3 linked regions of the Ovis aries genome follow. The protein of the gene in region 2 interacts with the protein of the main gene of each other region in a biochemical or structural test. Links are inferred from orthologs where the notes say so. Each region holds a gene or a part of one and is shown on either strand. Other genes may lie near its edges.

Region 1 (6,192 bases), about 43 Mb from region 2:
GGCCCCTTAAGTTGGCCAGTGAGGTCACTGGGGGGGCTTCTGGAGACTTGAGGACTAGTTCTGCCCAGGAAAAAAAAAAAGATGATCTTTTGAAATCTTTTTCAAACTAGTGATTATTCAAGATGCCACATTTGTAATCATGTTACACAGTCCCTCAAATGGCAAGCACCATCAAAATTACATGTTCCAGGTCCCAGAAGTAGGACTTGGAAGGTGTACTCAGATTCCTCTGGACACCCATTCTTCCACAGGCCTGATCTTAATAAGATCTTTCCTTCCTAAGAGACATCTACCTACTGCTAAAATCCAACTAACAGAGAAAGAGCCCTTGTTCCTCTAAGATTCCCTAGCAAGTATAATTAGCTACATTACTAGAGCAGCCAAAATTTATTTTTTCAAGGAACTGCAAAAGGTTATATGGTTCCAATTTAATTTTTCCTTCGAATGCAAACTTTCCAATGCCTGCCTTTCATAATACATGAGAGGTAATGCATGGGTCCAGATGATTTGACAATTTCTTTTAATTTACACACATCTAAGCATGGGTATAAAATTCCACTAGTTCAAAACACTTCCTTTTCTTAAACATATCTCCAGTTCACATTACGTGTTTATAGCAATCTGCAATGTATTATTTCTAAAGATAAACAATCATGTAAAAAATTGATAGAAAAACGGCAGCATATCACTACTGCCACACTCCGTCAGTCTTTCCCCTCGCATGGTCAGTGGGAAGTATAACTGCACGGCCATGACCAGGCTCTCCCTGCTGTTTCCAGCATGCAGAAACCAAGGGGCACTGGTTCCCTTCCACAGACAGATAGCCTTGAGCCTTAGTTGCTGAGAATCTCGTTTTCTTTTCCCCCTTGAACTTGGTATAAAACTCAAGAATGCACTGCGGACACTTTTCCTTCCAAAAAAAAGAGAGGCTCTGAGTCCAGATGATCACTATTTCTGACTCCCTGGAAAACAGTTGCAGTTTTCCCATTAAAATGAAAAGTACTGGAAATAATGTACTAGAATGGCTAAAATGTTGAAAAATGAAGTTTTCCATTTATGTGGCTATACTTGAAACAAATAGAGACTGAAAAGTAATTTAAATGAACTACTGGCCTTTCTGGGCCTTAAAACAGCTGCTTTTGAGAAAAATTGCCTCCCTCACAGACTCTCTGCTACAGTCTTCATTCATGCTACAGTTGACATTTTAAAAATCTCTAATCACCCTTTTGAATGATATTCCAATTCCTGAAAATGGTATCTACCACGGTGAAACACCTCATTTGGAAAGCATCCAATTCTGGCTGGAAATGAGAAATACTAGAACCCCAAAGAGTTGGGGCAGGGGGGAGGGTGTCACCGGAGAAGACAGGTATCGTTCAGCCAAAAAGCTTCCTTATGAATCACTGTTGGATTTAAGAAAAAACCCAGGGAAATATTCTTCCTGTAGAATCCTCAAATAGTAACACTTTCTAGCAAATCTCCAAACAGGACTCAGCAAAAAGGGACCTCCTTAGCCCCGCACAGCTTTTCACGCAGGCTTCACTAGAAAATCTTTAGATAGAGTTCTCCCTTTGCCCTGTTTTGCAACAAGATGAACAGTAATGATTTTCTGAAAGAAACAGAGAATCTGTGCAAAGAGCCAAAGTTCATAACTGGCTGGGAGATTACCAATCCCAACGGATAAAAACGATAGTATGTCAAAGAGAAATGCTCGGAGCTCTACAGCCAGCCGGAGCACCCAAATGTGTTCAGTCTACGCTCTCCAATCTCCGCGTAACGTTTGGCGACCTGCTAGCACACCCAGAGCCCCTCCGCACACATGATAAATGCCACATCGGCTGCTCGGTGCCAAAGAGGTTCCCCAATCCTAAATCGTATCAATTTAAAAGGAAAAAAAAAAAAAAAGGAGGGGGCCGGGAGAGAAGGGAAGAATAACACGCCAAAGGCGAAAGGGGGAAAAAAACCTTACAAAACCACCCCTAAAGATGACATGATTTGTCTTGGAAGGGACGGTCCGATTTATTAGAAATGGACACGTTGATAAGTAGCCAAGGGAGGAGGTATGGGGAACGAGAGGAGGGTAGAAACAGCTGTCCTCCCTACCCGAGGCCCCGGACCGCGCTGAGGCTGCAGACGGGCTCGCGGGTGTTTCGGGGTTCCACCCAGCCGGACAAAGCTCGGGGCGACCAGGTAGGGGCCGCCAGGCACAAGGGCAAGCCCAGGAGGCATTTCCCTGTAGAGGGCGCTCACTGGGCGTCGTAGGGAAACCAGCTCCAACCCTCGAGCCAGAGGAGGGGAAACCCAGTTCCCACCACCAAGGCCGGGGAGGGAGGCTGGGTTGCCCGCAGCCGGAGCCAGAGAAGAGACTCCCCCGGGCCTGGGGGCACCCCGGCCGGGGTCCGCGAGAGCGAGCGCGTCAGGCTGGAAGCTTCAGGCTGCGAGCGGCCAGGCGGCCCGAGGCCGAGTGCAGTGCCATCCGCACCCCCGTCTCGCCCAGCTGCCGCGCTCGAACGCGATCCATACAGAGATGCCCTCCGGCCCCTGATGGCCCGCGAGCCCCCTGGACCCTCAAGCAGAACGGGTCGGCAGAAATGGGAGTCCAGGGTCCGCACCCCGGCATTTTCGGGTGCATTTTCCACGCACTCCCCCCGCGCCCCCAGCAGGACCCAGGACTGCGCGCCTCCGCGGGTCGCGTTATCCCGTAGTGTCTGCTCCCTCACCCCAGCCACTGGGAACATCAAACAAAAGAACTTTTTTGCAAACTTTCCTCTCCGGACACTTCGCGGGTTTCTTAAAAAGCTTAGCCCCATCTTCCCAGAACCTGCATTCAATCCAGTAGGGAAGCTGGCGCGGGGGACGGGGGGGGGGGGTGGCGCGGGGGGAGGGTGCATGGAGGAAAGGACCCCCAAAGTTTCCAGGCCGTCCCCGAGTCTCGGGGAGCGCGCGGGGGGGACCAGTTCCCTCGAAGCCCTATGCACGCTTCCTCTCTCCCGTCCCCCTTCCCCATCGGTCCTTCTCGGCGACGCAGCAAGACCCTCGGGAGGGTGAATAAGTTGGGAACGTCTTCAGCGGCCTCCGCGGTTCGACAAAACGGCAATACCTTCGCTCTCATCCCGGGGTACCTCGGGGTAACTTCAGCGAGAGGCGCTTTTCTGCGGAAAGGGAAAGGGGAGAAGGCGTGGAGCGCATTTATCCCTTAGATCCCCGGGGGATCCCCAGCTATACGTCTGGCAGCGGGGGACTGGGTGGGGGGGCATCCCCCAGGGGGCGCTCCCCGATTCTCCGCGGGGTCTGCGGACTCGGCTCGGCCTCCGCACCTTAAACGGCGCGCGACCCCCGCCCGGCCCAACTCACCGACTCGGCGGACACGCAGGCCACCAAGACCCAGGTGAGCAGGATCCAAGCGCGCCGCATATTCCTCCGGGACCGGTGGCTCCCAGCTGCCCGCTTGCAACGAGGGAGAACACGAAGCTTCTCGCCCAGCGCCCGGCGCTGCTCGCGCAGAAAGATCAGGAGCAGAGCTGCCGCAGCGACCGCGGTTCGGGGGACTCGACGGGACTCGGGGGGCTCGGGGCTCCGGAGCGCCCGCTTCCTCCGGCTGCGCCCCGGGACCGCGGCGCCTTCTCACTTGTTGGCTCCTTCACTCCCGAGGCCGGATTGTGGCTCCGGGCGGGGGAGGCGGCTCGGAGGCTCTTGTTGCTCTGCTGTGGTTTTACTCCTCCGCGGACTCCTTCCCTGTGTCGCTGCTCCGTTTCTGATTCTTTTGAGGAATAAATTAGATGGCTTGGAATGTAGCTGCAGCTGAAGTTTGGGGGCAGAGCGGCGGGGGCGCGCGATCCGCACGGCTGCAGCTCCCGGAGTATCTGGAGAGTAGCGCGTCCGAGCCGGGCTAGTGGCTCAGCCGCGGCGCCCCTCCTCCGCCTCCTCCTCCTCCCGCGCCGCCGCCTCCCTCCCCGGGTCCTCCTCCTCCTCCACCCCCCACTCCCTTCCTCCTCCCGCTCCCTCCCTCTTCCCTCCCCAGCCGGCTTCTCCGGACTCCTCCGGGCCGCCCGAGGAGAGGAGGCGGCAGTGTGACTCCCAGCGAAACCCGGGAGAAATTCCTCCAGGATTACGCCCGGATTGGCAGCTCCGGGGACCAGTGGCCACAGGCGGCTCCGCGCCGCGGCTGCGCCGGGTCCGCTCGTCCTCAGTCCATGCTCCAGCGCTCTGCTACGCCTTCATTCTCTGGCTTCTTTCTCCCCTAGTCTCTCCCTCCTTTTCCTCTCTCCTCCTCCGTACTCCTTCTTCTCTATTTCCTTTTCACTTGCACTTTTCTGGAAGAAAGATCGGTGAAAAACGAGATATGTATTTATTAATAGCTTTTCTGCCTGCGACAATTGGACTAGCGGTAAGAAACTGCTCGGGGTGGGGGGCGGGAAGCCACGAAGTTTACAGATGCAAGCAGTATGAAGTGTTTCTAAGTCTCCAGTTCATGAAAATTGTGTTTAAAAGAGAAGACAGTCAATATAGTAAACGTATATTGAGTATTTCCCACTCTCCCTAACCACCCCCCCCAAAAAAAGGAAGTGGAGGAATACTCCCATAAATTAAAAATGCAACACTTTCAAAGCTTGTAATTTCAACTAAAGACTTAAGTACCATTTTGCCTCACACAGTTTAAGCCCCTGAGGTATTTTATAGGCTCCATTTCAGCACAGAAATAGGAAGCTACAAATAGGGCAATTTGATGAGAATTGGATGGAGACCTTGAATAATCACCGATTTAAGAGAACTTTAAAGAAAAGAGGGATAAAGTAATTTCTAGTTTGCAAAAAATAGTATTATTTCCTGGATGGAAGTAATCGATCTGAAACATTTTGTTGTGAAGTCTTTTTTTCAATTCCGGGTCTATAGGACACTATACAACATGGCAAACTGCATAGTTCTTTCCTATTTCTAGCATTATTTTTCCCTCTGACTTCTGAAGTGAATGAATTATGGAACCATTCTGCTCCTAGAATGGCTGCTCTAGGAAACCAGGGAACTTTCTATCTTGTTCACCACTGTATTCTCATTCCTGCTTCATAAAATACACAATAGATATTTCTTGGATAAACTTTGATCTAAAACTGCAAAAGTATCTGCCTGCCTGCACTGCAGGAGACACAAGAAATGCATGTTCCATCCCTGGGTGGGGAGGATCCCTTGGAAGAGGAAATGGAAACCCACTCCAGTTTTCTTGCCTGAAACATCCCATGGACCCAGGAGCCTGGGGGGCTACAGCCCAAAGGGTCACAAAGAGTCAGACACACCTGAGCACGCACAGATACTAGACAGTGAAAATTTTTGAACTTGGAATAAATTAGACTCATGCTCTAAGTGAGAATTACAATGTCTTAGTAACATTTCATGGAAGAAGTCTCAGAGAAAGAAATTTAGAGAGCCGGAGGAAACGTTAAAAGCACTGAGTCTGAGAGGTCCACTTCTTTGGTTTAAAAGTCCCAACTACCAGGCTCCCAACAGGCAAATCTAAGGGGTTGGCATCCAAGAGGTAGTTTGGAAAAATGGAAGAGTGGACAGAACAGAAAAATATCAGGAGACTGGGAGCTGTAACTTCCACAGAAACTGAGCTGGTACCTGGCGGATCGATGTGGGACTGGGTCTTGCTTGGTTTTGGGGAGAATGAACTGTGACGGTGTTTTAAGGTGGATTCTCTGTGGTTTGAACACAGCTGAATGTGGCCATTCCTACTTCTGCCAGGCTGCCAGTCCAAGGGCCACTGTCATCCTGTAACCTGGATGAAAGTATTCTTAGCTCCCCTCACCAATACCCCGTATCCCATCCCCTCCTGCCCCCACTCCCACCACCCCCCACAGAAAAGGGTCTGGCTAAACATGCAGAGTCAGCAGCTTCCAAGTAGGGAGACTCAAACCCCAGTCTCCGGGTTTCAGAACCTGTGGGTTCCATAGAATTCATCCATGGGTTGAAGAATTTCTTGAGATGGAGAGCTTCTACAACGAGTTTCCAAAGGACAATGAACAATATAAGAGAAACGTCATCTCTATTCCCAAAAGAGACCCAGTCTGCTCTCCAGGCTTTGGGCAAGGCCACTCCTCCCATCTCCCCAACAGTTAAGAACCCATCAAATAAACTAGAATTTTAGTGAAAGAGGAAAAAGCACTTCTCGACTGGCTGTCACAGCTACTGATGTTT
Region 2 (5,520 bases):
AGTTGGCTCACCTGTCCCGAATGGTCATGGTGATCTTCTCTCCAAAAGCCTGTTTGAGCACCTTGTGCGCCCGGTCCGAGCTCCAGCCAGCACAGTTCTCGCCGTTTATCTGAAGTACCTGGTCCCCAAACCGCAGGCCCACCAGGGAGGACGGAGAATTGGCCTGGACAAGCTGAACAAATATACCCTGGAGGATGGAAATCACTAAGTAAGTGCTGGAAAATCAGGAACCAACTGTTTAGGCAGCTACTCTAGTAATTTTTTTTTAAAAAAGAGAAAACTACACAAGTGTGTTTCATTACTCCCAAGAAGGAAACTGAAAATGCTATCAAGGCAACAGGAAGATCTGAGTGGTAATTTCTAGCTCACATCATGACTCACCTGACCAAATTCCATCACCCCCTCCACCTTGGAATAAAAAAACTAAGGAAAATAAAGTCAGATTACTATAAGAAATGTAAGGTTCCATGAGTCTGATAAAATACCAAACAGGTATTACTGCACCTGGTCATTATTTAGGAGGGAAGACAGTAAAGTGTTGGAAGTTTAAGAAAAGTGATAGGTTTAGGTCAGAAGTTTACCTTTTGAGCTGAAGAATTCCTTTACTCGCTTGCTAAATTACGCATAATCACTACTATTAAACAGCCTAAAAAGGTGGGTACACGGAATACAACCCCCGTTCTTAAAAATCTTCGAGGTAAATACAGAGAACTCAAGTACAGGTATCTGAGAACTAAACCCACAGGCTATTTTTACTCATGTAAACTAAATTTCAGATGCTGAACACTATCAACAAGCCAAGTGTAAAAGGCATGTGCCAGTAAGAGATGAAAGCAACCACAGGTCGCACCCCTTCTCCGTCCTGAGCTGCCCCAGATTTGGTGCTGCGTAGCCTGTACTCAGATTTGGTGCTGCGTATCCTGTACTTGAGGACGGCACCCAGCAGAGTGGCTACACCTACAAGCTTCGGCCACTGGACAAACCACTGCAAGGATAACTGCTGCAGGGGTGGAGCTGCGGAGAGTGTGGTCTCTCTCTAGGATGTAGAGAGGGCAGGGAAGTGCGAGCTTCCCAGAGCAGCACACTCAATGAGGGTCTCACACAAGCCACAAGTGTGCAAAGACACAATGCCCTCAGCCTCTGGGGAGGCAGGTAGGGCCCGGACTGGCCTCAAACATCTTCCGCCAGGCGCCACATCTTCTACATGCAAAGGCTGGATGCGCTGAGCTATGAGACCGAAGACTGAAAAGAAGCCCAATAAATAACCTGGAAACCCACAAATCAGGGTAAAGACTCAGCACCTCCTTAGTGATCCTAAGTGCTTCCCCACAGAGTAACCAGGTTTCATTTCTTCCATCTGGTAAGGTGAGAGGTGAAGTAATGTACTTTAGAAAGTCACTGTTGCCTGGAAAATGCCCCATGAAAGTCAAATTCAAGGATGGAAATAACAAACCCCAAACCACATTACAAGTCACATGATCGTCTTTAAGTTTAAAAATACACAAGACCACTGACCCTCACCTATCAGTCTTAACTTCCACACGTTACCCTATTTCAATGCCAGCATTCTCCTTGTATGAACTATGTTATAATACACGCAGACTAGTGAACTTTATTCCAGAAAAAGGACTCAGAAAAAATTCATCCATGGTAATGCTCAAGTCCCAGCTCTGCCTCTTCAGAACAGGGTAGCATCTCACGTGGAAAAGCAGATTAAAAGTAGTCTTGATCAGAGAGCACCATTACACTTCATTAAAGCATTTACATTTTAAATTGTAACTGGGTCACATAACAGCTAATCAGACAAGTGTACTGAAAGCACTTACATTGTCTATGGATTTCAGCCGGAGCCCAATCTTCCCGTCTTGATCCTTACACAAGATGACTTCTCGGATCCCTTGCTTGATCTCTGCTCTGCGGATCCCAGTGTCGCCACCAGTGACAGGGGCCACCATGTGGTCCATGCTGGAAGGCCGTGCCACCAACTGCTGCCAAAGACACATGCAACACGTCAGTATTCGCAAACACGCGCCCTGAGAAAATCCAAAATTGAACATATTCTGTTGTGGTTTCCTAAAATGTAATCTGCCGATTATTTCCTTCAGATATGAGTTTTGCAAAAATGACCCTATTTTGTTTTTTAAAACTAATTCTGCAGGTAATTTACCCCCCCAGACACCATCTCCAGCAGACTCAATGACTCTGTTGCCCGATGAATTCACTGGCATTTGTTTTATGTGTACCCTGGCTTGTTTTCAACTCAAATATATTATCCTTGAACTTTATAAAGGCTGTACTTTACTTTTAAACTCACACAGCATCTTCCTGAGGGTTCTTTTATATGGCCTTCAACAATGTACTTACCCTTTCAGAGTTTTTATTACAGAGGCAAACTTCTTACCTCACAGCTCCACTACAAGGACTAAAAGCACCTACTAGTCAAGTGCTGACACACACAAGACAAATGTTATTTTTCATCCCTTTGGTAAACATCTGTGGATTAACCAACTGTATGGAGAATAGCTGTACTAGGGACTCCGTTAGGTACCAGGCCTCACATTCCTAATTTTTTTTTCTTGACCAAAATGAGTTTAGTGTTTTAAGTGGACCCTTTCCTCTACCAAAGAAAATGAGGGAAGAGCATATTTGTTACCAAAGCGTCTTAACCGGAACCTGTCATGAAAAGCTCTGGTCTGACACCGTGATGCTCAGAACAGCCATGATGGGGGAGAGAAACCTCAGCCGCACACACACAGGCTGCCAATGTCTCCGTTCAGAATCACAGTCACCAGGACATCACACACACACAAAGAGCCATACCACTAATCAAGCACAATACCAGAAAATACAACTTTTGAAGAATTACAAAAATTCAATGATTACAGCTATAAAAGCATAAAAATCAGGCAATGGGATAGAAAAAATTAAGCAAATGAATTTAGTTTAGCTGAAACATAGGACAAAAGGGAGGAGCTTTGGAGTATAACTTTTGGAAAAGAATTTCTTTCCAGCAAGTACAGTTAAGTGCTTACTCGGTGTTCTTACCATGATCCATATGACCAACACATGACCACTGCTCCCTCCTGCTAAGGCTACTATGACCACCATCTACTCTTGCCCTTCTATTTGCCCTCCACACAGCAAGCACTGAAACCCTTTTGTTAATCCCACAACTCAGACCCCCAACCCCTTACCCTGTCCACAAGGCCACAGACTACCTGGCCTGACAGCCCTTCCAATGTCACCCCCCAGTGCATCTGCAGCCACATTCTGTCTCATCTGCCCTCACCGAGGTCCTGTCTCTCAGGCCTCTCAAGCTCATTTCTGCCCGGAAGCCTCTCAAGGTCTCTGTATATACTGGCTAGTAAAGCTGAACGTACTTACTATGGTTCCCTTACCAGAAAATATTTGTTGCGCGTCAACAAATGTGAAGAAATATGAAGAAAGAAGCCTGTGGGCACACTGAAGAGAAGAGAGGCCAGCAAGCGTCACAGACTGTCCGTGCCTTCCAAGCCCACCCTCTGTGGTGAGCCCTCTTCTGCCATGGCTTTCTGGTCAGGACCCCTCGCGAGGAGGACGTGCCAGGGCCTGCCCCTTCCTGTCTGCTTCCTGCTCCTGCCAGTACTGCCTGGGGCCAGCCCTTCATGCTGCTGGCAGCAGGTGACTCCAGTCTCCAGATTCCAGACACTGGCAGCACAGCCTCCCTGCAGCCCCCAGAGGTACCAGCATCCATCACAGGGGGCCCTCCCCTGAGGCCCAGCTCACGGGGCTCCTCCACCAACACTGTTGGCTCTGCGAACTGTAACCCCCATCCCGTATGCCCCAGTTCTAGGAGAAGCAGCTTTCTGGGTTCCGCTTTTGCTTTTTTCAATTCTTCAACCTCTCTGATTTCTTGTTATCTCTGTTAAAATTCTTGTGTGATTTCTGTTGTTCCACCTGGACCCTGACTGATGTAAGCAAGTTTTCAATAAATATTTGGTGAATAAATTGAAAGCCAGGTACTGTACTAAGCATGGGAGTTATGGCAGCAACAGAGACATAAAGGCTGTCTTCATGAAGTTATGCATTTACCTATGACAAGTACTGTAAGGTATTACAGTCTTATAGCAACAATCTTAACAAAAGACTGAGACACACTATATTTAAGCCAAGAATTTGGGGTCAAACTGTAAGAAGCTTTAAACTTAAAAAGATTATGAGCAAAAAAAAGGTAACAGACCTGAATTTCAGAATGATAAAGTTAGCAGTAGCTCAGCATTCATTGATATAACAAGTTACTAGAGGAGTTACTGGAAGAAGAGCCAAGTGTAACATCTAGGTGAGAGGTATAAATCATGGACAGGGCTACAGCAAGCCTACAATGCATAACATGAATACAAGAAACACACCAGAAGCAGAGTCACTAGGTCTGTAACTAAATGCAGAAGACAAAGGAGAATGTACCAGTTAAAGGCACCTGTATCTTTAACTCCTAATAAATCAGAAAAGTGGTAACAGCACAGAAGGAAGTAGACTGTGTAAAAAGCAATACCTAGAAGGCAATCCTGAGAAGAGATCAATGCTAAGGCTATAAATTTGTGAGTTTGCCACAAAGACGAGTTAGCTTGTATCTCTGTGTAAGGTATGATTTTATATAATTCAGAACGAATTACATTATACATACCCCATGACTTGGTGCTCCAGGGACCAAGGCCATATTTGCACGTATTTCTTCTTCATTTAAACTCAGGCCCATGTACTGAGAGAGCTCAGGATATAGCTTAGGATAGAGATCTAATAACAAATGAATCAGTAGAGAAAAAAAATTAGTAGACTATTTAAAAAAAACATTGTTATTATGGACTTTTACTTGTATTTTTAAAAATCACATTGATTTTATAAAATCTAGGATGAATTTAAATTAGTAATCTGGAAAACCCCTTTCTCTGTAATGACAATTAGAAAAGGAAAACAGAAAAATAAAAGTGAAAGTATGAAGACATTTTAACTGAAACCTCAGACTTCTAAATACTCAAGACTAGAAATAATTTTTCCAAGTTATCTTGCCTTTTCTTTCTCTTAAACCTATTAGGAATTTTCTACACATACCACTGATTCTCCACTTGAGAACAACTGACCAAAATGTACACTTCAAATCAGCTACATTTTAATTCATTCAGTAAACACAGCTATAAAATGTACCCAAAAAAATGAACTGTGAGAAAAAAAACGCTTGTAAATTTATTATCATATCAGTTTAAGAATACACAGCAATGAAATCTTTGAAACAGTACATTTCAGTATTAACAGTATTTAACTGAACAGTAGAGTTAGATACTATTTCCAAAAGCTCTTTATGTGAGTTATGGATTTTCCAAAGGAAACAATGTTATAAGATGACAGGCCATAAAAACCTATTTAACACTCCTCTTGTATTTAAAAAAAAACATTTTTTTTTTTTCACTTTATACTGGAGTAGAGCTGATTAACAATGTTGTAGTGGTTGCAGTGGACAGCAAAGGGACTCAGCCATACACATAC
Region 3 (6,071 bases), on a different chromosome or scaffold from region 2:
TCAGCATACACATGATATTTTATAAACGGATTTATGGAACAAAGAAAACAGGACAAAATGCTCCTTTGACTTTTTAAAAAATTTAACATTCCTTTATTATGAGGCTAAAGGCATTATGCTTCTCCTTTTATCTTGAAGGATTCAAATTGGAGGGAAAAAAAAATTGAAACAAAACCTAAATGCAGGTTTAAGGGAAGAAAAAGAAAATGAAGGGAGAGATTTCCCTGAATGTTTTAACAGAGCCTGTTGGATCATGTGTTCTGAATTAAATTTACTTATACACAGCAAAACCCCTTGCATTTCCTTTAGCCAAGTCAGTACCTCTGACAGAAAGGGGTATGGAAGCACACCGCCCTTCACTTTTCCTTAAAAAGGAATGTTTATTACAACCAAATTAACATCCAAAGGGAAACCTCAGATTTGCGCTGCTTTGCCTATAAAAGTTGCTGTCTTCACAGTTGTGCCTTTCCACAGGGAGACACTTGTTTCCTCTTTTGTCTCTTACAACAAAGACAAGGGAAAAAAATGCATTCCTATTTTGAAAAGCAACAAGTCATCACTTCTTTTCAGGATATTAAACCAAATAAAACAGGCTTCTTTCTTCCTTCTGCTTCCCCAGAAAATAAAAAAGTAGTAGAAATACCTACTACTTGCCTCCTTTTCCTTGTTGCAAAATGTTGTCATTTCTTTTGCATCCTCACATCAGGATTCTAGGAGGCTGGCCTCCCAAGACTTCAAAATGGTTATTTTACAAGACTTGAAAGGAGTAGAGGAAGAAAAACAGGCGGGGAGGAGGCAGAGGTGGAGACTGTAATGTCTGACCCTGGAAATTAACCCATCTGGACTCCAGTTTGGCCCCAGTGAAAAGAGATTATGGTTTGACCACCGCTTGACAAGGACACTGCAGGGTGTCCTCCCTTTTCCTAACAAAGCAGCGGCCTCAGACAGCTGTACCTTTCACCCGGGCCTCACAGGAGTGAGGACAGGCCACTTGTCTTGCAGCAGGGAAATCGCTCACAGTCCCAGTTCGGCCCAGAGCCGGGAAGAACTCACAGCAACCTTCTGATCTCAATCTTTTCCGACAGGCCCAAGGCGGCCCGTACCGCACATGATTAACATCACTGTTACCATCACCAGCATCATCCTGCAAGTCTTTGCCAGAAGTCTTTTCATCCAAACCGTATTTCCACCCAGGCCTCTTTTCCCAACCCACATATATCTACATATATCTTCTCATTTCCAGGTGACTTCTCACTGGAGCGGAAGGAGGTTCCAGAAACAAGTCCCCCCACCCCGCAGTTCTTTCCCTACCGCCCCTTTCCCACCCCCGGCGGCGGGAAGGAAGGGTGGGGGAGGGGCCGGGGTTCATACCGCAGTCTCCCCCTTGCTGCTGTGGCTGAGTCTGTGGTAGAAGCGGCGCCACGACTGCAGGGTCTTGCCCGACCAGATCCAGAAGCCAGTGGTGATGCCGACGATCATGGTCATCAGGTACTTGATCATGAAGACGGTAAAGTCGGGGCTCATGGGCGGGAAGTGGCCTGGCGGGCAGGGCACCGCGTAGCTCTTGCAAGTCTGCAGGAGCCAGGTGCGTTCCCAGTGTTCGCGGAAGGCCTGCTCATAGAAGTAGCAGGCCAGAACGATGGTGGCCGGCACCGTGTAGAGCACGCTGAAGACGCCGATGCGCACCATCAGCTTCTCCAGCTTCTCAGTCTTGGTGCCGTCGTGCTTCATGATGGTGCGGATGCGGAAGAGAGACACGAAGCCCGCCAGCAGGAAGGACGTGCCGATGAAGAGGTAGACGAACAGGGGCGCCAGCACGAAGCCCCGCAGCGCGTCCACGCTGGACAGGCCCACGTAGCACACCCCGCTGAGCAGGTCCCCGTCCACCTGGCCCATAGCCAGGATGGTGATGGTCTTGACAGCGGGCACCGCCCAGGCGGCCAGGTGGAAGTACTGCGAGTTGGCCTCGATGGCCTCGTGGCCCCACTTCATGCCGGCCGCCAGGAACCAAGTGAGCGACAAGATGACCCACCAGATGGAACTGGCCATGCCGAAGAAGTAGAGCACCATGAAGAGGATGGTGCAGCCCTCCTTCTTGGTGCCCTGCGCCACCGTGCGGTAGCCGTCGTCGGAGAAGCGCTCCACGCACACCGCGCGGTCCTCCAGCAGGAAGCCGGCCACGTGCGCCACGGCCACCATGAAGTAGCAGCCTGACAGGAAGATGATGGGCCGCTCCGGGTAGCTGAACCGCCGCATGTCCACTAGGTAGGTGAGCACGGTGAAGAGAGTCGAGGCGCAGCACAGCACAGACCACACGCCCACCCAGAGGCGGGCGAAGCGCCTCTCCTCCTCCTTAAAGTACATAAGGCCATTAGCGCGGCCCGGCTCGCAAGGGGCGCCGCAGTCGCGCTCGCCAAGGAAGCGGTAGCCCAGGTAGGGGGGCACCTTGAGCTGGCGGGGGCACGAGAAGGGGAAAGCGGAGCGGCCCCGGCCGTCGGCGGCCCCCGGAGGCAGCGCGGTGAAGGGCAGGTCGGGCAGGTAGGGTGCGGTAGGGTAGGCGGTGGGGCCGCCGCCCGCGCCCCCGGAGCCGTCCGACGTGTTTTGGCCCACGCAGATCTCGCCAGCGCCGTGCACGGGGAAGTTCTCGCAACGCAGCCGTTCAGGCCATTGGAAGCCGAACTTGTTCATGAGTGCTTCACAGCCCTGGCGGGCACGCTCGCAGAGAGAGCGGCACGGAGGGATGGCCTTGTCGAGCACCGTACACACGGGTGCGTACATGGAGCAGAGGAAGAACCGCAGCTCGGGAGAACACTGCACCTTCACCAGCGGGTAGAACTGGTGCACCTCGAGGCCCGCCTCCTCTTGGTTCGTGTGACCCAGCAGGTTGGGCAAGATGGTCTGGTTGTAGGCGATGTCCGTGCACAGAGGGATGGAGATGGGCTGGCAGAAGCCGTGGTCTGGCACTGAGATGCCCTTCTCTCCGTGGTACGGCTGCGCCCCGGCGCCCGCGGGCAGTGCGCCCAGCAGCGCCAGCGCCAGGGTGCAAAGGTCCAGAGGCAAGCGCGACACCGCCGCGCAGGAGCCCCGCATCGCCGGCCGCGGGTGCAGCGGCACTCTCAGCCCGAGAAACGCGACCAGGCAGCCGGGAGAGGCTGGGATCGGGGGAGGCGCCGCTGCGCCGGGCGCATGAGAGTCCTCCCGGCGCCGGGGCTGGGCCGTGGGCGGCGCGGAACAGAGGGCGCTGCAGCTGGGGTGCTCCCGCCACGGGGGCGCCGCCGCCTCCGCCCAGCACTGGCGCAGCCGCCGGGGGTCCAAACTCGTCTCGCTGGGCTGGGGGCGCAGATGGGGGGCCGCCTTCTCCTCTTGATGCGACGTAACGGTGCGGCTTTTTCTGCGGCGAGGAGCAACAAGCGTCTCCGGTTACCCTTCAAAGTTTGCCCAAGTCTCCCGACTCACTGAGCTCAATAGGGCGCGCGCCGCACCCCCACACTAAGTCTGGCCCCGGCAGGCGAGACCCCGGCGCCCCCGCTTGCTAGCCAAAGCCGCCGCCTCAACGGTGCTGCTCCGCCTCCTCTCCTCGAGGCTCCGCTCGCCGCCGCCTCCTCCTTCGCCTCCTTCTCCGCTCCTTGCTCCTTCTTCAGCCCCAGAAGCTTGGCTCCAACTTTCAGCCAAACGGCTAATTCTCGCTCTGAGTCCGATCGGCGTCTTGGAGCCAAGAGCTCGGCGAGTTCTTTTAAGAAATCCAGTCACACTGCGTCCGAGGCTGCGAGGTCCTGGTGCCCGCGGCCTGGGCCTGGCCTCTCCAGCCCCGCGCAACTCTGAGCGGTGAGGGAGCGCTGCCCGCCGGGAGGGAGCGCAGAGTAACGCCTCGGAGCCGCGCAACTCTACAGAAGAAGCGTCGGGCTCTCAGGGTTCCGGACCGCCCCGCCCCCTCCCCTCCCCCCATTCACAAACCACTCCGGGGGCGGGCCCTCGAGCTCCAGGGAGGCCCAATAGCAGCCTTTGTTTTCTGTGTGACTGTCTTCGGATTGGGTGGAAGTCGGAAGGGGCGGGCAAGGGAACGAGAGAGGCTAGGTCTGCGGAGCTCTGGGCGGATTCCTGAGGGGAGGGGCAGGGGGCTGGGAGGGAAAAGTTAAGAAAAACTTTTACCCTGAATTCACTGGGGGGAGGGGGTAGAGAAGCGCACCAGAAAGGGAATTTGCTTGAAATATTTGTTCCTTAGTGTTCCGGGTACACTAAAATACAGATTCCTGAACAGAAGGGCGCACCGGGCAAGGCTTTTGCATGGAGAGGTTGAGAATAAGAATAGCACCTCCCCGGAGAGAAACGCGACCCGGAGTTGTGTTTAGCACTCCTTGGGCTGAAAATGCTGGATTTGGAGGGGGGCTTTTAGGTGACAGGATCCTAAATGCGGGGTTCGGAATGGGGCAAGAAATGGGTGCGCCTCGCGGATTGCTTTTCTCTCGGCAGACTTAGACCACGTGAGGCCACAATCCCCGCTCACCCCCTCTCCGGGTTGTAAAAAGGAGGAGGGGCCCAGGCTGAAGAGAAATAGGAGTCGGGCAGAGGGGGCCGGCTTAAGGCAGGAGGAAGTGTCGACCCCTCCAAGGGGACAGGGCCGACGAGCGGCGGGCGCGGGGGACTCAGGCTTCAGGCCACCCTGCCCGCACGCACGGCCCAGAGTCTAGGGATTTGGTATAGCTTTAGTGAAATCGTAAGAAAACTAGTGCGGGAAATTATTGTAAAAAAAACCTGCGGCCGAGTGCCCAGAACACTGTACAGGTTTACAGCGAGTATTTAATTGCCTATTTTCTTTAGTTCCGTGGCGTGTGGCCCTTGGGAGTCCCACCTTCGTCGCGGAAGCAATGATTTGATTCTTGGAATCTGCGTAGAAAAGTTTTAATGCATATTAGAAACCAAAGGCATTTGCTAATTAAAGAGTTTCCAAAACACAAAGAGAAGTTATCCTTGTTCTCGGGTAGCGTTTTCTGATTGGCAAGCGTTCTTTTGTTCTCGATCAAATCTTCGCCCCGCTGAAGGCACTGGGCCCTGGCGCGCGCTCTCTGGTTACTCACAGCGAAATCAGAAGTTACAGCGGGTGGAGGTGGGGGATGTTCCTACCTTCTCACCGGACCGCGAGGAATAGCATGAATTCCCATGCAGCAAAGTGACATGCTAAGCAAGGAAAAATCTTCTCTGTGACACTCCCTCTCCGCCCTCCCCCCAGTCCTCTGCCTTAAAAAACGTTACTCCTGGCCTAGCCCTTCCTCCTGCCAGCTCAGTTCCAGGCGCTAGAGCCCTGAGGGATTCTGATCAGGATGCAAGTTTGCAGAAGTTAGAAGTTGCTGTCTCTGCTGCCCGGAGTGAGCCTCTTCTCCAGCAAGAAAAGACAGATCCTGAAACCGAAGACAATTAATTGGGTTCCCTTCCATAGGAGACTTTGGCCTCCTCTGTTTTTCTTTTTTTCTATTACTGCTTTATGGGGAATCTGTTCTTCCACTTCACAGTTCTTTGTCCTCCACTCTTGTTAATGGGCCTGGAAGGTTGAATCATTTAGGCCAAGGTAGGGTGTCAGACTGCTCACATTCTCCATCTGGTCCTCAACAGGAATCCTCGTCTTTTTTCTTCCAAAGGATCAGTTTTCCCTTCACACCCAGGGCTTTTTTTTTTTTTTTTTCTTTTGGGCAGTCTGCCTCAAGGTAATATGAAAGATTAATAATATTTTCTTTAAACATGTTTTCTTCTCTCTTTGTATTTTTCAAGGGCTCCTCTTTTTCTTTCTAAATTATTATTCTTATCACTTAACATTGGGGAGCCTTGATATTGATTGCATTGAAAGATGCTGTTTAAAGACAATGCAGCTTCTTTGCTTTGTCATTTAAAATGTGTGTGTGGTGGGGGGTTGGAAATCCTTTTTTCTCTCTGTGAGCTCCAGGATATTCTCCTTTTCTAAATCAAATTTTCATGCTTATTCATCAGGCCACTGATCTAAGTCATCTTTGCTTATTGAGGGAGAAATTGCAAGCACTGTCATGTAATAAAATGAAAACCGACAGGATAAAATACTGTCT

The links. The genes of interacting proteins can lie anywhere in the genome.
Region 1: the proteins of SDCBP (region 2) and SDC2 form a complex in vitro, tested with the Homo sapiens proteins (3 studies listed by BioGRID and IntAct, with this or other methods). The link is inferred for Ovis aries from reciprocal best matches to the Homo sapiens genes SDCBP and SDC2.
Region 3: the proteins of SDCBP (region 2) and FZD7 interact in a biophysical measurement, tested with the Homo sapiens proteins (2 studies listed by IntAct, with this or other methods). The link is inferred for Ovis aries from reciprocal best matches to the Homo sapiens genes SDCBP and FZD7.

What each region holds. Positions count from the first base shown.
Region 1 is NC_056062.1:80,612,891-80,619,082, forward strand, and holds the start of SDC2 (syndecan-2), read right to left. Parts: upstream 3,866-6,192; 5' UTR 3,415-3,865; coding exon 3,355-3,414; intron 2,232-3,354; exon of another isoform or gene 1-2,231. UniProt on the Homo sapiens protein: Cell surface proteoglycan which regulates dendritic arbor morphogenesis.
Region 2 is NC_056062.1:37,742,016-37,747,535, reverse strand, and holds part of SDCBP (syntenin-1), read right to left. Parts: intron 4,774-5,520; coding exon 4,664-4,773; intron 1,989-4,663; coding exon 1,827-1,988; intron 188-1,826; coding exon 12-187; intron 1-11. UniProt on the Homo sapiens protein: Multifunctional adapter protein involved in diverse array of functions including trafficking of transmembrane proteins, neuro and immunomodulation, exosome biogenesis, and tumorigenesis.
Region 3 is NC_056055.1:204,348,299-204,354,369, reverse strand, and holds the start of FZD7 (frizzled-7), read right to left. Parts: upstream 3,866-6,071; 5' UTR 3,091-3,865; coding exon 1,366-3,090; 3' UTR 1-1,365. UniProt on the Homo sapiens protein: Receptor for Wnt proteins.